Linked DNA regions of Arabidopsis thaliana. The protein of the gene in region 1 interacts with the protein of each later gene in a biochemical or structural test. Each region holds a gene or a part of one and is shown on either strand. Other genes may lie near its edges.

What was found.
Region 2: the proteins of LQY1 (region 1) and AT1G67700 form a complex in vitro, tested with the Arabidopsis thaliana proteins (one study listed by BioGRID).

What each region holds. Positions count from the first base shown.
Region 1 is NC_003070.9:28,421,219-28,425,539, forward strand, and holds LQY1 (DnaJ/Hsp40 cysteine-rich domain superfamily protein), read right to left. Parts: upstream 2,303-4,321; 5' UTR 1,953-2,302; coding exon 1,803-1,952; intron 1,720-1,802; coding exon 1,636-1,719; intron 1,523-1,635; coding exon 1,471-1,522; intron 1,336-1,470; coding exon 1,179-1,335; intron 1,077-1,178; coding exon 1,055-1,076; 3' UTR 512-1,054; downstream 1-511. Other genes in the region: HVA22G (HVA22-like protein G), read left to right, coding at 2,738-2,769, 2,857-3,099, 3,183-3,246, 3,326-3,532, 3,639-3,713. UniProt on the Arabidopsis thaliana protein: Protein disulfide-isomerase probably involved upon formation of a complex with HHL1 in maintaining photosystem II (PSII) activity under high light by regulating repair and reassembly of PSII complexes.
Region 2 is NC_003070.9:25,372,067-25,376,600, reverse strand, and holds AT1G67700 (multidrug resistance protein), read right to left. Parts: upstream 2,530-4,534; 5' UTR 2,509-2,529; intron 2,464-2,508; exon of another isoform or gene 2,413-2,463; 5' UTR 2,307-2,412; coding exon 2,034-2,306; intron 1,643-2,033; coding exon 1,505-1,642; intron 1,407-1,504; coding exon 1,320-1,406; intron 1,196-1,319; coding exon 1,148-1,195; intron 1,032-1,147; coding exon 889-1,031; coding exon of another isoform or gene 885-888; exon of another isoform or gene 875-884; intron 798-874; coding exon 791-797; 3' UTR 551-790; downstream 1-550. Other genes in the region: AT1G67690 (Zincin-like metalloproteases family protein), read right to left, coding at 2,871-2,981, 3,070-3,150, 3,223-3,327, 3,408-3,481, 3,714-3,810, 3,902-3,947, 4,033-4,130, 4,242-4,349 and 1 more. UniProt on the Arabidopsis thaliana protein: Involved in photoprotection. Forms a complex with LQY1 that is involved in the repair and reassembly cycle of the PSII-LHCII supercomplex under high-light conditions. May function in guiding the release of psbC from PSII core monomers.

The DNA of each region.
Region 1 (4,321 bases):
TTCAAATTATTAATTGAGATTTTTAAAAATTGTTTTTAAAATTTTGATTTTGTTTTTTCGGATTTTAATCTTTTATATTTGTTTTTTATTTTATTAGGATGCTAACTTTATATAATGATAGAAAATAGCCTACCAAAAAAAAAATGATAGAAAAATTAACCGGATTTTGGATCCAGCATTAGCCGTTAGCAATTCCAAACATTCAACTTGTTTTCATATTATTATGTAGATCTAGCATTCAAGTTTTTCATTCGGATTTTTAAAAATACTTTTTAAGATTTTGATTTTGTTTTTCTTTTTTTCAGAATTTAAAAAACTTTTCTTTAATGTTTTTATTTGTTTGGATATTAAATTTACATAATGATATGAAAACTAACCGGATTTTGGATCCAGCATTAGTCGTAAGCGATTCCAAACATTCAACTTGTTTTTCCTATTATTATGTAGATTTAGCATTAAAGTTTTCAATTTGGATTTTTAATAATAATTTTAAAAACTTTGATTATGTGAGGTTAAATATGGGCCACTATGCCTATGAAGAAAAATATTAAATCAAATTAAAAAAGATGATATGCTTAACTTCAACAGTAAGTAATCAATTAACTTTGAGGGTTCAGAAGAGTCATTGGCAACAGACAATGTATCATCACCAATTGTAGCGCAAGCAAACACACATTTGGTGGATAGAAAAAGGAAGAGTGAACCGGATTCAAAGACCTCTTTGAGACCGAGCCATATTTGATCCAGCAGCATTGGGGAAAATGGCAGGCGCTTTGTCGGACATGGTAACTGCTTTGAGGTCAAGGAAAGCTGATTCCATAACGCAAGAGGATAGATTTAGTATTACAAACTGAATCAATGTGCTTGACGAGGTAGACATGGTTACTAGGTAAGTACAAGAAGAAACATTTGATTGAACTCTGGTGGTTTTCTTTCACAATTACAATATCCATGTCATGATGTTCTCTCAACATGTTTGGTGAACAAAACAGCATTGTACAATGAAGAAATGTGAGAAGGGAGAAGAAAAGAAATGTTCCTTAGAGCAAGGTATTTAGTCATCGTCCTTGAACTCCCTGACCAGAAGAAAAGAAAAGAAAAGAGAAATGTGTTAGTATCTCTACAATGTGCAAAAAACAGAGTGGCTCCTGATTCACAGTAATCGTATAGTATAGTACCTTCGATCAAGGTATCGAGGTTGAACACCAGAGCCTTGACAAGTAGTGCAAGTTAAGGAACCAGCACCATCACAGTTGATACAGTTTGAGACTTCTTTCTCTCCTCCACCAAGCTCTACGGTCACATTACCACTTCCCACACACAATCTGCATTTCTCTGCTCCACCACCAAAGAAACTATTTCTTCAGAAACATCATAATATGTTTATAAACATTTTCGACACATCAAACATTTTGCTCTTACACAAATCCAACCAAAATGCTAACAAAAAGTTGAGAGAGATCCACTTACGAGCTCCGGTGCCATTACAGGGAAAACAAGGTTGAGTATTCTCTCGCTTAGCCTATGAAAGTGTAAAATCAAAACAGTGTTAACTTTATTCCACAGCAATGCACTCACTTAGAAGCATTGCCAAAACGGTATCAAATTTTCAACAATGAGAATGAGAAGACTCACCGCATTGTCGATTTGAGTCTCGTAGAACACAGGGATTCCGATTCCTAATGCGACGCTTGCTACGCCTACAGATATCGCGACTACCTAGAAAGATAATCAAAATCGTTCATCAATAAAAACTAGTGAGAAGAGAACAAAGTCTATATAGCCAGAGATGAGGATCAAACCGTGTTGGGATCGAGTTCAGCTTTGATTCGGGGATAAGATGTTGACGGCGACCGGAGATTCCTCGCCGAGAAAGAAGAAGGAGTGAAATTGATGGGACAGTGAATGAACGGAGAATGAAGACGAGGCGGAGATGGAGCTGAAACTGGCATTTCGACTTCTCTTTGTTTGGTATGAAGCTTTGCAGAGAATCGCTTAAGCGCGCGAAGATGGATGAGAGGAAGAAGAAGAACCAGTAGTTTTGGGTTAATCTCAGCCACTAGATTATGTTTCCATGGCTAAGATTTGTTCACGTGGCTTAATAAGATATTTAGTATTTATCTCCTTATCCACTAATCCACTGTTAACTGTAATCCAGTTTTCCGAAGCGTATTGGAGAAGAGGAAAACAAGATACGGTGTGGTGAGATACGATACACCCGCTTAAACGTAGACGATCACAACCGTCAAGTATAAATCCAACGGCTGATAACGTCTAAAAGTCGTGATTGTTGACTATTTAAAAACCGCACTGTTTCAAGTTGAAACTCACAAGTAGAGAACAAATGAAAAAAGGATTCGCAAGTCACTATCCGATACCGTTTTGCTTCGCCTTTTCTCCATCTTTTGTTTCTCCATTCGCAAGTCACTATCGTACGTAACCGTCGTCTATAATTCGTTCGAAATCATTCTTCTCATTCCTTTTTCGCCGAAACCGTTTTTCTGATAAGGTATGTGTTATTGTTCAATCGCTTAAACCGTTAATATCTTCTTCTTCATATTAGCCTTTAGGAAGTGTAATCGTTTGAAGGCATGCATCAATATTGTTTAGTTGATTGTTTTGTCTCTGTCTTTTTGTATTTTGGATGATATAATCATTTCAATGAATCGGGGTCGAGAATTTAATTCTGACAAGCAGATTCTTTTGTTTTTTTTAAACGTTTTAGCAGGTGATCACAATGATTGGATCGTTTCTGACAAGAGGGCTTTTGTATGTTATTGATCTCTTCTTTTAATTTTATAAAACACACATTTCTTTCAATCAAACTAAGTAATGAATCTTTCTATTTATTGACAGAATGGTGTTTGGATATGCATATCCTGCTTATGAGTGCTTCAAAACGGTCGAACTCAACAAGCCTGAAATTCAACAACTTCAGTTCTGGTGCCAGTATTGGTATATGCATACATTCTATCCTTTATCTATAACCTTTTTAGGTTCCTATATAAATCTTGCTTCCTTCCACTCAAAACATCTTTGCAGGATTATTGTAGCTGCTTTGACGATTTTCGAAAGAATTGGTGATGCTCTTGTTTCTTGGTAGGCTGTTTATATTACTTAGAAAACAAAGAGTTTTACAGTATTGTATATTAGTATTCTTATGTTTTCATGTTGTCTTGAAGGTTACCAATGTATAGCGAGGCGAAGTTGGCTTTCTTCATTTATCTCTGGTTTCCAAAGACTAAAGTAAGTAATATCTTATATATCTTTTGATTCAACTGACTTTTTCTCTAATTTTTATTACCTATGTGTTATATCATTTCAGGGAACAACATACGTTTACGATTCTTTCTTCAGGCCATATATAGCAAAGCATGAAAATGAAATTGACCGCAACTTGGTGAAGGTAAAGACTAGAGCTAAGGATATGGCAATGATATATCTCCAAAAAGCAATCAACCAAGGGCAGACCAAATTCTTTGAGATCTTACAGTATATCACAGAACAATCAACACCAAAATCTAAGGCTGAGGTATATTTATTTCTTCACCTCTCTACTCTTCTCTGTTTCATTTTAACATTTGACTTGTGAGTGAACTTCAATAAAAAATCTTGCTCGTTTTTCTATTTGTGAACAGGAAAAGAAAGAGACAACAATACCTAAACTCGATGATCCAATTCTTAAGGTGAAAGAAAACGAAGTCACTAAATGAGGTACGTAGAGTCATTCGAGAGGAAAACGTTAAGCCTGACTCGTGGGAAACTATTGGGGAAAACACACTGTACTAACTAACTATGCATCATCTTCTTTCTTTTAGTCGTTACTATGAATAAATCATGAATCTCAAATGTAAATTGCTTCGGAGAAAAATAAAAAGGTTGCTTTTTAACCAAGTATCATGAGAATCTAGCTTGATATGGGCCTAAACCCAAATTCTTCTTTCACACGTTTAATGGTGGCCCAATTCTTTACCAGCTTATGTCCCCATTCTCTTAAATCTAGTGGTGCTCCGTATACATCTGATTAGGATTATAATCTTAGATGTTTGAAAATGGGTTTGCGATATGGTTATGATCAGTAGTATCCATAACCCATTCAGACAGTGAAATAATTCTCATACATGAAATACATGAGTACAAGAGACAATTGAAATTTGAGTAGGATTTAGAATGATGTTTGAATATCGAGGTCTTCGATGGAATGATCCGTCAAAACTCGCAAAGTATCGCAATTTGTTGTAGATTAGGTTAAATGGGACGGATTAACCCGCTCTGACATCTCCTACCTAAATCTTTAATTTTAAAATTCAAAAAAATTACA
Region 2 (4,534 bases), 3.0 Mb from region 1:
GAGCAGATATACAAATGAGTGTTACGGGAAACGTTTTACATCGAAGATATCTAACAGTTGCCACATGTGATGTTCTTTTATCTGTTGAGAATCTGTCCCATAACCTTATCATCAAATAATGTGAGAGTTCACAATCTTAGAGCAGATATACAAATGAGTGTTACGGGAAACGTTTTACATCGAAGATATCTAACAGTTGCCACTTGCCACCAGATCCAAGATGGGAAACTTCAGAGTTTTGAACTATCTAACATCTTTCTATGCAGGCAATGGATTAGTTACCTGACAAAGCTCTAATTTATTCATAACAAACAATTTATGAAGCTACACACACCATATTGCAATGTTCGGACAGTCAGATGTCGCCAATACTGCGCAGAACTAGATTTTTTACCTACTGGAGCAATCAGGGAGATTCTACTAAATCTCTGCAAATGGTCTTGCTCTCACCTTCACGAAGCTTTTGCATATCTTGTTCACAGTTCTAGTTAAGGGTTTCTTCGAAAGATATAGTGGGAAGTTTTCCTATTTTCGACTACTATTGTTTGACCAATGTCTAAGAAAAGTTGAAATTGCAAGTTGTAACCAATGGCTCTTTCTTTCAACAAATCTACAATACACAATAAGTTATATGTTACAAGAGATTTAACAGAAGCTGTTTCTGTGAGAGATGTATAGAGAAAATGTGCACAAAATAGCGGTAGTCTCGTCATATCCAGTGACCTTCTGCAGCCCATACCGAGACGGTTGAGACATCAAAATCAACCAACCAAGTGTCAATTGTTCAGCCTCAGGCCCTGTAAAACGGTTGTATATCATTTTGGTGAAAAACACCAAAATTCTAGTGAAAATGAAAAGAAGAAACATTCAGTACCTGTTTATACTTACTTGGCTTTCTCATCCGAGGTTTCTTCAGTTTTTTCGTCACTCCCCGGGTTCAGCGATGATAGCTTTCCGAATGACTCTTTTGCATCCCCAAAGTAGTCTTTAACTTTGTCGAACACTGTTTTAAGCTGGTCCTGGGTTGGGAGCTGCGATGGTTCAGGACAAAACACAAACGTTTCAGACAAAACATCTATAACAGCATCCTTTTGGTGTCACTGTAGGAAGTTTGAGAGCTGATCTCATGTAGTTAAGTATAGCTCACCTCAATAACATCTGAAGTACTAAGTGCAGCTCTCATGTTTCCGTTTTCCTGAATGTATAATACAGCCATAATAAGTGAAAACGAAACCAGAAAACTTTTCCTACGGTCTCATCAACTACAAAATGAAGCAGAGCTTCCAATAACTGAAGAAAAAGGGTTTTGAGAGCATTACTACAAGTTTGTAGCCATATCGAAACTCGGTGGCTGTACGCAAGACACGATGCTGCTTAATTGCTGTCTTTTGAATCTCTTTCTCATCCTGTTGAAGATAAAAACAATTAGAAATAACATCTAAAGAGACACATATTAATAGTGGAATCAACCACACAAGAATAAGCAGAAGCTTGTGTAATTTACTCTGTAAATAACAGCGGCAATGTTTCTTGCAATGGTGTCTTTGTAGATATACTTCCCCAAGAGGTTATCTTTTGCAGCAACCATGATCTTAGCAGTAGTACCACCAGCTATTATACTCAGAGGATACCAAAGATACACCTGTTCACGTCACAAGAAACACTTTTTACAACAAAAAGTAAAATGCTGAAAAGAACACTCGCATTGATGAAACCAGAACACAATTGCAATCTGATAATTGATCTAAAAGGATCGAATGAAAGAAAGTACATAACTTTGCAAACAAAACCAATCAAGCTAACAATTTTAATTCATGTTATAAACAAACACGTACTAGAACAAAGAGCTGAAATGTTGAAAAATCCAAATTTGATGAAACCAGATGATTTGCAATCTAATAATTGGTCTAGGAGTATCAAATTGAAAAAAGTATATAACTTTGGAAACAGAACCAAAGCAAAGCTAACATGTTTAAGCGTTTAATTATCTCCTAATCCAAGCTAAGTGAAGAAAGAGTGGAAAAGAGACGAACATTGGCCATACGAATGAAGATAACGAATCTTGGGTTTCCATCGTCTTCAATCTTAGGCATAGGAGGAGGTGTACGTTGATACTGACGCGCCGCCATACCTTTCTTTCCCTTAGCCTCCACCACAAAAACCATCCGCCGCTGCTGTACCGCCGTCTCTCGGCATGCCGTTCTTGAGCTAAACAGAGAGTGTCTCGCTAAACCAACCTCTTCGAATCTTCCTGTGTTCTTCAGAGGAAGCCGAGTTAACGCATTCAAAGACATACTCACTTCCATTACTCACCAGAGAAGATTCACTCACCACTAGTTTGTTTAGAAACGAGAGATTATTTGGTTTGGGGAAGATGATGATTTCGTGGATTCGTACCTTATCTACTTGTACCTGCCACGTGTTCAAACCAGTTTAAACCGAACCAGAACCGTACTTCATAAGGTAATCTGAAACTCTTTTCTTTTACGTATGTCTGAAACTACTTACCTTTAAGGCCTGTTACAATCCTATTTCCAAAGTAAACCAAAAAGACAATACTATTCTTGTCTTAATAAGAGAAGAAAACCATAATATTAGAATCTGTCTTGTAAATTGATCGAGACAAGTCCTTATCTTCAACACCGTACATGCTCAATGATGATCACTATGTTATATAACTCTTCGTAATTTGAGATTGCGATGCAGAGAAAGGTAAGAAACTAAGAATGAATGATTACAGTTTCCACCTAAACCGCTAGGTCCTCTCAACACATTAACAAACATCAATAAACGATGTCTCTAACAACCAAAGAAATGTTTATTTTCACCAGCTACCAGATTCACTGGAACCTAATGTTAGGTGCAAAATACTACAAACTATAGTTTGTCCGGCTAGCGATGAAAGCTTGTGTTGATGGTTCCCTTCCAAGAAAATTGGTGAGAAGTTCCATTGGTTCTTTGCCTCCTCCTGGGGCCAACACCTAATAAGAAAGTAGTTGTTACTTGTTTAGTCCTTTTACACTCACACACTACTAAATCAAAGGAAAGACAAACAAATACGCTTCTCACTTTGTCTCTGAACTGCAAGCCGGCATATAGATTCGGATGCCCATCTCCAAATTTTGAAGCAAATATATCAGCAGCATACACCTGTGGAAATAGGTGGATTCTCAGACTAAAGTCATGGAAGGTACGGATCACCACAGTGCAAATCAATCATACCTCACTCCATAAACGACTGTAACATGTTGCTTCAGAGCCAATTACAGCACGTGGGAAACATGAAGCAGGGTTGGTTCCTTCCACCACTGGTAGCCCTATCATTACCTATATATAGAAAGACACTAGTATGAGAAAATTTCTTTGCCGTAAACAGACCAGATTGCTTTGAGAGTTTATGCTTTTACCTTTGGATGAAGACTCCTGATTAGCTGGAGTAAGTCAGCATCATCGTCCGAATATATTATTTGATCAAATAGACCTGATCATCCATATTTCAAGCATCATTAGGCAATACCACATTTTACCCGCTAGTAGACTTCTTAGTTAACTACTGCTTCCTCTAAAGCATAATAAGAACCACAATCTACTCGTCTTACTAACAAACCATTTGTCCTAACGATTGTGAGGAATTGATATTTCAGTTTAAAAACTACAATGAAGTCAAAATGAAAAGGTATATAAGCATCATTAAAAGTCAATTAATATCTCACAGTATAATATCTCCTGAAGCGACTTTAGTGCAGAGAAAGAATATCGCCAACGTTTGAGTGTTTTGCAGACTTCATCCACAAGTGGCTTGGTGATATCCTGCAGGAATAAATCCCAGGTTAAAACAAATTATTATGACTAGTCTACGACAAGAACAATTGTCAACAATTTAGTCGTGAGAAGCGCTCACCTGACGATAACCTGATATTAACTTCAACGTGAAACTTTCGTAACACCTAGAGATACAAGAATTATATTCCGTCTATTAGGATTTAGTGTTAATACAGAAAGATTTTAAGAAAAAATTATCAGTTTACTTGCCAGTTTTCCAATAACTGAGAAGGAATCTCCCGAAAGTCGGGGTCAACACGTAGGCCCGAGAATCTAGCAAATGAAGCACGATTGCAGATATGTTGGACCTATTTACCAATAGTAGCAAGGAATATCAGCTAATAACATCCCCTGATACATACAAAAGATACCAACAGAATTTATTCTGCTGTTCCACGTAACCAATTTCATTCACGTACCACATGGCCAAACTCATGAAAAAGATTAACCACGTCAGAAAATCCCAATGGCACAGCTTCACCACTACCATCCTTTGCAAACTGTGCAATAAGCAACGCCACAGGAATCTGGAGACAGAAACAAAATAAATGCCAAAATACGAATACTAAAACCTTAAAATACATCCACATGAGATCACAATATCGATTTATATTTGAGTTGCATGATACTTCCACATAAAGGTCCGACATGGATGTAGGATTGTCACCTGACATGCACCATTGGAGAACAGTGCGTTATTCTGAAGAGCCAC